Caenorhabditis elegans: one gene and its partner. The protein of the gene in region 1 purifies or fractionates together with the protein of each later gene. This does not show direct contact. Each region holds a gene or a part of one and is shown on either strand. Other genes may lie near its edges. The genes, in order: lpr-4 and nmad-1.

Region 1 (4,473 bases):
TTTGAGACAGCACCAGTTGTCCCAGAAGGTGGATTCCTTCCAACTTCAGAAGTTCGTCGCTCTCCATCTTCAGTATCTGAAGTCTCGCACTCAATTGATTCTAAATCAGATGAACTTAATACAGAAGAGGTAAATTTTTTTCGCAGCGTTCTCGAACATTTATTTTTATCTTTTAGTATGGAGGTCTTTCCGAAGACTCAAACTCGTCTGGAGGTGGATTGATTGGAACTATTTTCAATCTTATCAAGCTCGGAGGAAAGAAAGCTAAGGAGAACGCCAAAAATGGGAACGGAACCGCTCCAGTAAGATTTCATATTCTTTTTAACCATCTTAATCGAGTTAATTTAGGAAAAGAACACTATCGGAAAGGCTGTATCCAACCTCCTTTCGGGAGAAAACAGTCCATTCCCAAAACCTGGTAGCAACATTCTGACTGATATGCTTTTCAAGACTCTTTCCAGTGGTTCACTCGAGTCCAATGGAACTGAAATTGAGAAGAGTGAAAATGGCTCAATTGTCCTTACCCCAGCTCAATCTGCCGCCATCAGCAGCAATCTTGAAATGATTCAAGATCTTATCATCAAGCCAAACTCTCCACTATGCACACAAAAACCAATCCCGGTTGAATTTGAACTCGATCCTCTTATGGGACAATGGTACCAAGTTATCTACTCTCCACCAGTATCTACTGGCCCTTGCAGCATGGTTTCTTACAAAAAACTTAGTGATAATGGAGAAGGTAACGTGCATTAATAGATTTTAATCAGTTTTAACTAGTTGTTTTTCAGCCACCGGATCAATCGTAGATGTCTATGAGTACACAACTGATGGAACTCCATATGGAAAGCCAATAATCTCTTCTGGATATGCCTTGGTGAAAGGAAAGGGAGAACTCATCTTCAGAACAAATTCCAACAAAGAAGATGTGACTGTGCACATTCTTAGCGTTGGACCATTGAATCATCAGGGAGAATATGAATATGTTGTCATGTCCACCAACTGCAACTATCCAGTCTATGTATTTGCAAGAGATACTAGCATTTTCAAGCAGGTATGAAAATTAATTAACAGTGATTATGTTGTGATAATTCAACTGATATTATTTTAGAAATACGAACCAGTTGTCAATGAGTTCCTGGACAAGAGCGGAATTGTGAATGGAATCTCTCGCCTGCTTAATGTTGTTGCTCCAGTCGACAACACTATGTGCATCTTCCCACCACATCTTTTCTACAACCAAGGAAGATAGTTTACTCGCCACCATCTTAATAATTTCTAATAACTCCTAATAATTTTTAATATGGTTTTTTTCCATCCATCATCCCGTTCTCATTGCCCTTTCTTCTCTTTCAACCCTCGGGTGATTACCTCATCTTTTTAAGTCTTAGTTTACAATCCAAAGCATTTTTCTTTAATTTTCATTTAGAAACTACACAAAAAATCAGGCCGTGGGCTCGTGCATTCCTTGTTGTATATAGAATTTCGAATAATTTATTCCTTTTTATAATTTCGGTTATATTTTTTCTACGTCTTTCACACTTGTCCTAATAATGTTGATAATATGCAGTTAATAAATTTTTTAAACTATCTATTTTTAACATTTCTTTAGTAATGAAGAAAGAAGTACAATTATTAAACGGATGCGCAATTCTTAACAAAAATGGCATCGTCGAAAAATCAGAGTTGATGTTTCTATAATTGATCATAAAGGATTAAATACAATTAATGAATATTCTCAATTTCTCGGCCCAGATCATTCTTACAACCATGTTATAAAATTATTCAGAAAAGTCATTTTTTAGAACTTAAAACTTTGGTTTACGAAAAATGCCGATTTTGACTTATTGAGAAAGGGGTTTCTTCTTATTTTCTTGTATCAATTTACTCATTTTTCAATTAGGTCAGGTCAAACTCTGGAACAGTGTTTGCCTGTCACATTTATCTTCATCATTCCTATTTCTGAGAGTATCTCTCTATCTCTATCAGAGTAATTCAATCCAGAGGATTAGAAAGGGGTACGGGGAAAAGCGAATATCGGTCAAGTGAAAGTGGTGACTGTCGCAATGATTCGCGGATACAGTCCAGTGAATCTTGCATGAAGAGACGCAAAAGAAGAAGCGAAAATTGGCACGTAACGAGAGTGAAAGCCTATCGACGCTGGACATTTTGAGGTCAACATATATCTCACCCGGACGATACAGCCCATTGAGAAAGCCCACACTTGGAAGTTCTAACGATGCAACGGCTGACGGCGGTTGTTTTCGCCTGCGTAATTGGAGGAGTTTTCCTCGCTGCACCAGATGCACCAACATTCGATAGCCTGCCCGCTGGAATCGACCCAACTGCAAAGGTAAACATTTTGTATTTTTTTCAGTTATTTGAGAGTGCTCAATTTCAGATTGGACCACCAGGAACTGACGACAAAGCTCTTGTGAAAGTTGGAGAGGTGGCTGAATCAATTTTGGATAAACTTGGATTCAGTACCAGAGATGAAAAGGATATTCGTCGTGCCCCAGTGCCAAGTTCTTTCTTTGGAGTGAGTATCTATGTAAATCTGCTGAATGAAATATTCTTCTCGTTTCTGAAATTAAAAAAAAATCTGACGTTTAGAGTGACGATGTCAACCAAGTTATTGAAGAGGCTAATGCTAATCGTGTTGACCTTCAAGGAATCACCTCTGGACAAATCCCAGGACTTGCTCCAATCCCAGTACCAGGATTCCCAGGACCACAGGACGCACCAGTTATTCCAGGAGTCAACACTATTCCAGGACTTAGCAATTTTAACTACCTTGTCGGACAACTTTTCCCACAAATGATTCCACCAGCAAACACTCTTCTAGGATCTTCAATCAGCAGAATTCTTCCAAAGGATACTGCAAAAAATATCGCAAAGGATGTGTTCAGAGCTGTTCACCCAACTGCTGAAAATGTAGATACCGCTAGAATGATGGGAAGATGGTTCCAAGTTATCAACTCTCCACATGTCATCCGTGAGGCCTGCACCGTGTCACACTGTAAGTAGCAGATTATATATGTCTTAACTAAAACACTTTTTTTAAACCATCTTGCCAATGTTCAATTTTCAGTCGGAGCCCTTACGAACAACACATACTCTGCTTCCTTCACCATCCTCAAGTTCTACAGAGAAGGAAATCCAAATGGATCCCCAAGATATGCTCTCGGATACGGATTCAAATCTGGAGAAACTGGACAATTCGTTCTTCACAACTCCAATTCTGCTGATGCCGAGCCTTGTAAGTTATAAACTAACTACATAATTGATAGTTGTGAAATATGCTCAGTCTGGGTTATCAAGATGGGACCACTCAATGAGTACAAGCAATACGACTACGCCATCGTTTCTACCTGGGTCAGATATCCAGTCTTTGTCATTGCTCGTGACCCAGAACGCTTCAGAAAGCTGCACATGAAGAATGTCCTCGAATTCTTGCAACAGAACAGTGAGTTAACATGGTAGAGCTTTTTTATTTAATAATTTTAATATTTAGACTACATCAACGTCATGACCAAGGCCTTCAACATGATCTCTCCAGTTGACTATGAAGCCTGTCAGTACACTCCAACTTTCTCTGGAACCGGAAAGTAATTGCTTGCAAGCGCCGTACGACTGTCATCTCGCTGTCGGGTATCCTCCATCAATTAATTGTTTCTCCCCAAACATTCCATTCTGTGTGTAGACAGATTTTGTAATAATAATAATTATAATAATGAAACTAATAACAACAAGAAGTTAGTTATAATAACTTGTAATTTTTCCCTTTCCTTGTGCCTCATTAATAACGGATTCTATGAAATCCTGATCCTCAGTTTGACAATAATAAACTATTTGATATTAAACCGTTGATCCTCAGCAAGTGTATATATTTTAAAATTAAATAAACAGCTTCTTTTTAGTTACATAGAAACTGTAAACTAAACACTCCGAAGGCAGTTTAAAAAAGGTAAATGAAGTTTACAAAAATGCCAACATAGTAGTGGAGCGGGGCCATCGGAAACCGATTAATATTTCAGATGTGAAATAGCTAGACAATTATTCAGAATGATCTACCGTTTTGAGTAACATAATCTGTTAAAATTTAAACAAGTCAACAATTGCTCATTATTTTTCTAATTTCATCATTCCTACAAACTAAAATTATTTACAGAAACTGCTCCCTACTCTGGAAGTTTGAACCTTAAATAATAAAACTTCAGGGATTTGAATTTGTGTTCCGCAATTAACTGTTTAAGCTTTTGGATTACAAATGTCTTGGTTTTATACCTGAGGTTTGAACAAACAGTTTTCAAGATTCACAACATCCATTTAAACTTTATCACCGACTCACAGAAGATGCTTCCTACGTGCCAGTTATTTTGAGAGATAAAGAGGAAAGCCTCTTTGGAAAAGTGCAAGCAACATTTTTCAAATATCCAGGTCATCTTTCCCAAATCTTGTCGACCAAAGGCGACT
Region 2 (4,040 bases), on another chromosome or scaffold:
TTCAATGAAACCCTACAAAATCTCTGCTCACTGGCTCGGCACCCTTCATGGAAATCCTTATCGGCGAGGAATCGTTGAGTGAGACGATACTCCATTGTGAAGATCTTTGCATAGCTCATCTTGCTTCCTTCGGTGATTTGTCGGTGAGTTACTTTCAGGGAAGTTGGGCTCATTTTTCCTAGAGTGGCTGCTTGCTTCTTTGCCCAGTCGGATCCGTCTTTTTCGAGGCTTGCGAGGATTTCTTCGACGCTTCTGAAAAATCAATTATTTTATATATCTTAGGCAAATGTAATTTTTTGTGTGCTATCGAATCCTCAAAACTGGCCCTTTCCTAGTTTTTGCTTAAAACTAATATTATCTGAGAAACAATAATAAATCAATTCGATGAAATGCTACTTTTTAATTTGTTCCAACTCAAATACACGTGATCTTGGTGACAAAATATCTTACTTTGCTTTGAAGGAATCTCTAATTTGAGCCAAATTCTTGGACAGACTGAATTCTGGAATCTTCTTTGGCTCGAACGATCTGATGACTTCATCGACAGAGTTCTCTGTCACATCCTTAATATTCACAAGTTCCTTTTCCAATTTCGCAAGTTCCGAAGACTCCACAAAATGAGTGGCAAGACCAGCATGGAAAGCGTCAGCACCTAGAAGACGATATCCAGTGAGTGCCAAGTACATTCCGAGGTTTCCCTTGAGCCTTGAAAGGAAATAGGATCCACCGACGTCTGGGAAGAGTCCAAGTGCGGTTTCTGGCATTGCTAGCATTGTTTTCTCAGTGGCAACTCGGAAACGTCCATTTACAGAAAGACCACAACCCTGAAACAAGTTTTTTAAAAAATTGAAAAGAAAATAGTTGCAGATAACTTACTCCTCCCATCACAATTCCATCAATCAGACAAACGTATTGCTTATTCAAAGTTCCAATTAAATGATTTAAAATGTACTCCTCGCGGAAGAAATCCTTGTGCATTGTGCACTCTTTTCCACTCTCCGAATCTTTGAAAGATCGCACAACGGCAAGAACATCTCCTCCAGCACAGAACGCCTTATCACCGGATCCTTTCAAAATGACAAGATCCACATCGGAAGATGAATTCCAGGCTTGAAGTTTGGGATAAAACTCTCGTACCATTTCGAGGTTCAACGCGTTTAGCGCTTTAGGCCTATTCAATGTAACCACCTTCTTCGATCCGTGTGTGTCGACAAGGATTTCCGACTTGGCGGCGGCGCTCACGGAGAACGACATCTTCTGGCAGACTTCCTGGAAATTTCTGAGTTTAGAACAGAAAATTTGATAGAAAAATAAAATGTTAGTCAAAATTTGTGAAAAATGAAACCTTCGAATGAAGTCCGCGGAAGAGTGCGGGCAAGTTTCGGACAGTGGCAGCCATGTCTCTGAAAATTGGCTTAATAAAATGAAGAATAGTTTACGAAAACGAGAAAAGTGGTCTTGTTCCGCGAGGTTATAAAGGGAAAACATCACTGATCACAAAAAGAAGCTTGCACTTTGAGCACAAAACAAGAAAATAGGGAAATTTGAGGAATAGACTAATCAATCAATAATTTAACTTTCATTTTCACGCAAATTCCGTTAAAGAATCGATGAATAACTTGTAAAAATAATTAAAATTGATCAAATTAGGGTTTTCCGCCGAAAGAAAAAACTAAATGGGCGGTGCTTAATGAGTGAAACGCAATGTGCGCGCGCTTTTTGCGCAAGTGCCCCGCGCACAGTTTGGCAGGCAGAGATTTTTTCAGTAGACAATTTTTTTTTATATTTTTAAGATTTTTTGTTGGAAAATTAAAGAAGTTGTATCATTTTTCATGTGGTAATTTTAAAAAATAAATGTTCAATTCATTTTTATTATCCTTTCACTCTGAAAATGTTTAGAAATATTACGAAATTCCAGAAAACAACACTTCTCGACATGGGTTCCGCAGAACAAGCGTGTGGCTGCAAGGGAGCTCGATTTTGTGCACTTTGTGAGACAACGGAACGTGTGAAAAAGCTTCGCGTGGTGGAGGATAAGCATGTTAACTACAAAGTATGCATATTTCATTTTAAATAATCTTTAAAAAAAAACAATTGAACCGAATACAAAATTCCAAATTTCAGGTCTTCATTTACGATCACATTCGTCAAATCGCAATTCCAACGACAAATCTGAACTCTCAGTCTTCATTGGAGGATATCATTGATGGTTTTTATTACATATAATGAGTTTTCAACTAAAAATGAAATTTCTAGAATCCACCTCGTGCCAATCCGTATCTACAGACGGCTCCATCGAAATTGACGGGCTCACTCTCATTCACAATTTTCTGTCAGAATCTGAAGAATCTAAAATTCTCAATATGATAGACACAGTTGAATGGGCACAGTCACAAAGTGGTCGAAGAAAGCAAGTAAGAAAATCATTTAATAAAAAAAACATAATTTTAAAAGTTCAGGACTACGGACCGAAAGTGAATTTCAAGCATAAAAAGGTAAAAACGGACACATTTGTCGGAATGCCAGAGTACGCAGACATGTTGCTCAATAAGATGAGTGAATACGACGTGAAGAAACTCGGAAATTATCAGCCATTCGAAATGTGCAATTTGGAGTATGAGGAAGTGAAGAAAAGTGCCATTGAGATGCATCAGGATGATATGTGGATTTGGGGAAATCGATTGATAAGGTATGAATTCCTTTTTAAAAAAGTACTGTTTAATTAATATTATTTTCGGCAGAAATTCGACAAAAAATTTTTATTTTTGCAAAAAAAACGCGAATATTTTAAAACGAAATTCCCATTGACAGTAATCTACAAAAAAAAAAATTTTTTTTAAGATCTGAAAACTTCAGAGTATTTGATTTTTCTCAAAAACTGTGTTCAAAAAAATGCCTTGCCTCGAGAATAATAAATTTAAATACTGTTTGTCCCCATTTCATTTTTTTTTAATTTCCAAAATTTAAAGAACTTTGAAGAATCCAATCAATTTTTCAGCATCAACCTAATCAATGGATCCGTGATGACTCTATCCAACGATAATAAATCGTTCTTATGCTACGTCCATATGCCTCATCGTTCTCTTCTCTGTATGGCCGATGAATGTAGATATGATTGGAAGCACGGAGTTCTCGCTCACCACATCCGTGGACGAAGAATAGCGTTGACGATGCGAGAGGCGGCCAAAGATTTCGCTGAGGGAGGGGAATTGTATGAGAAATACGGTGCCGAGCTAATTCGCCTGGGCAACATTCGAGTACCACTTTCGAAAACTTCCGTGTGATGATAATTCCTTTTTTCTGTCTGTTTTGTCATTCTTCTCCTTGTTCAACCAACTTTTTAATTGAAGAAGTTTTAATTTTTATTCTTTGTTCGTTTCTCGTTCAGGTGCAAAGTAATTATGGAATGAATCGGCTGAAAACCGAATTGGGAAAACAACATGTGACGTCACAGAGAGCCATGTGATCGAGATAAGATAAGGAGTGAACGGCTCGGAGAGCATTCATTTAATGATTGATTGGGATGGACACCTGTCAGATAGACTACATTACAGTTTTCCTGTAGGCACACGTGTGACCCTGAACCTAAAAAATTTGAAATTAAATTCCAACAAAGAAGAAAGAAAACCGTATAATTTAGATAGCCATCTCGATTATTTACCTGTAGTTTGGAAGACTCGTCACGAGGTTATTGAAAGAAAGAGAGAGAGTTCGCTGACAATTTGTTTACCTTGGAATCAAAAATTGCTTGGTTTGCAATTTTTCAGAACCCACGTGGCTGTTATTTTCTTGCGTTCATTAGGAATATTTTAATCTGTCAATTAATCCGTTTATAAAAAAACCGATTTTTAGCTTTGAATTTTAGTTAAAATAATGAAAAGAGACTTGCGCCTTTAAAGAGTTACGGTAGTTATCAAAAGATTTTCAGAAAGTTACAGTAACCCAATGAAGACGCACGTCTATTTTTTTTTAATTTACTGGTTTAAAACTAACTAAAATAAAACAAAGCTTTCTACTCGGACTGTGTTTTTACTTATTAT

The links.
Region 2: the proteins of lpr-4 (region 1) and nmad-1 fractionate together in Caenorhabditis elegans (co-fractionation; one large-scale study listed by BioGRID). This does not show direct contact.

Annotation. Positions count from the first base shown.
Region 1 is NC_003284.9:11,062,952-11,067,424, forward strand, and holds lpr-4 (Lipocalin domain-containing protein), read left to right. Parts: upstream 1-2,174; 5' UTR 2,175-2,236; coding exon 2,237-2,350; intron 2,351-2,398; coding exon 2,399-2,536; intron 2,537-2,610; coding exon 2,611-3,016; intron 3,017-3,088; coding exon 3,089-3,256; intron 3,257-3,304; coding exon 3,305-3,463; intron 3,464-3,511; coding exon 3,512-3,609; 3' UTR 3,610-3,860; downstream 3,861-4,473. Other genes in the region: lpr-5 (Lipocalin domain-containing protein), read left to right, coding at 1-129, 177-302, 349-739, 789-1,051, 1,109-1,249.
Region 2 is NC_003281.10:5,552,813-5,556,852, reverse strand, and holds nmad-1 (DNA N6-methyl adenine demethylase), read left to right. Parts: upstream 1-1,918; 5' UTR 1,919-1,936; coding exon 1,937-2,053; intron 2,054-2,124; coding exon 2,125-2,209; intron 2,210-2,256; coding exon 2,257-2,414; intron 2,415-2,459; coding exon 2,460-2,689; coding exon of another isoform or gene 2,690-2,726; intron 2,727-2,998; coding exon 2,999-3,284; 3' UTR 3,285-3,364; downstream 3,365-4,040. Other genes in the region: hach-1 (3-hydroxyisobutyryl-CoA hydrolase, mitochondrial), read right to left, coding at 32-252, 451-824, 877-1,269, 1,346-1,399. UniProt on the Caenorhabditis elegans protein: Dioxygenase that specifically demethylates DNA methylated on the 6th position of adenine (N(6)-methyladenosine) DNA. N(6)-methyladenosine (m6A) DNA is involved in epigenetic transgenerational inheritance.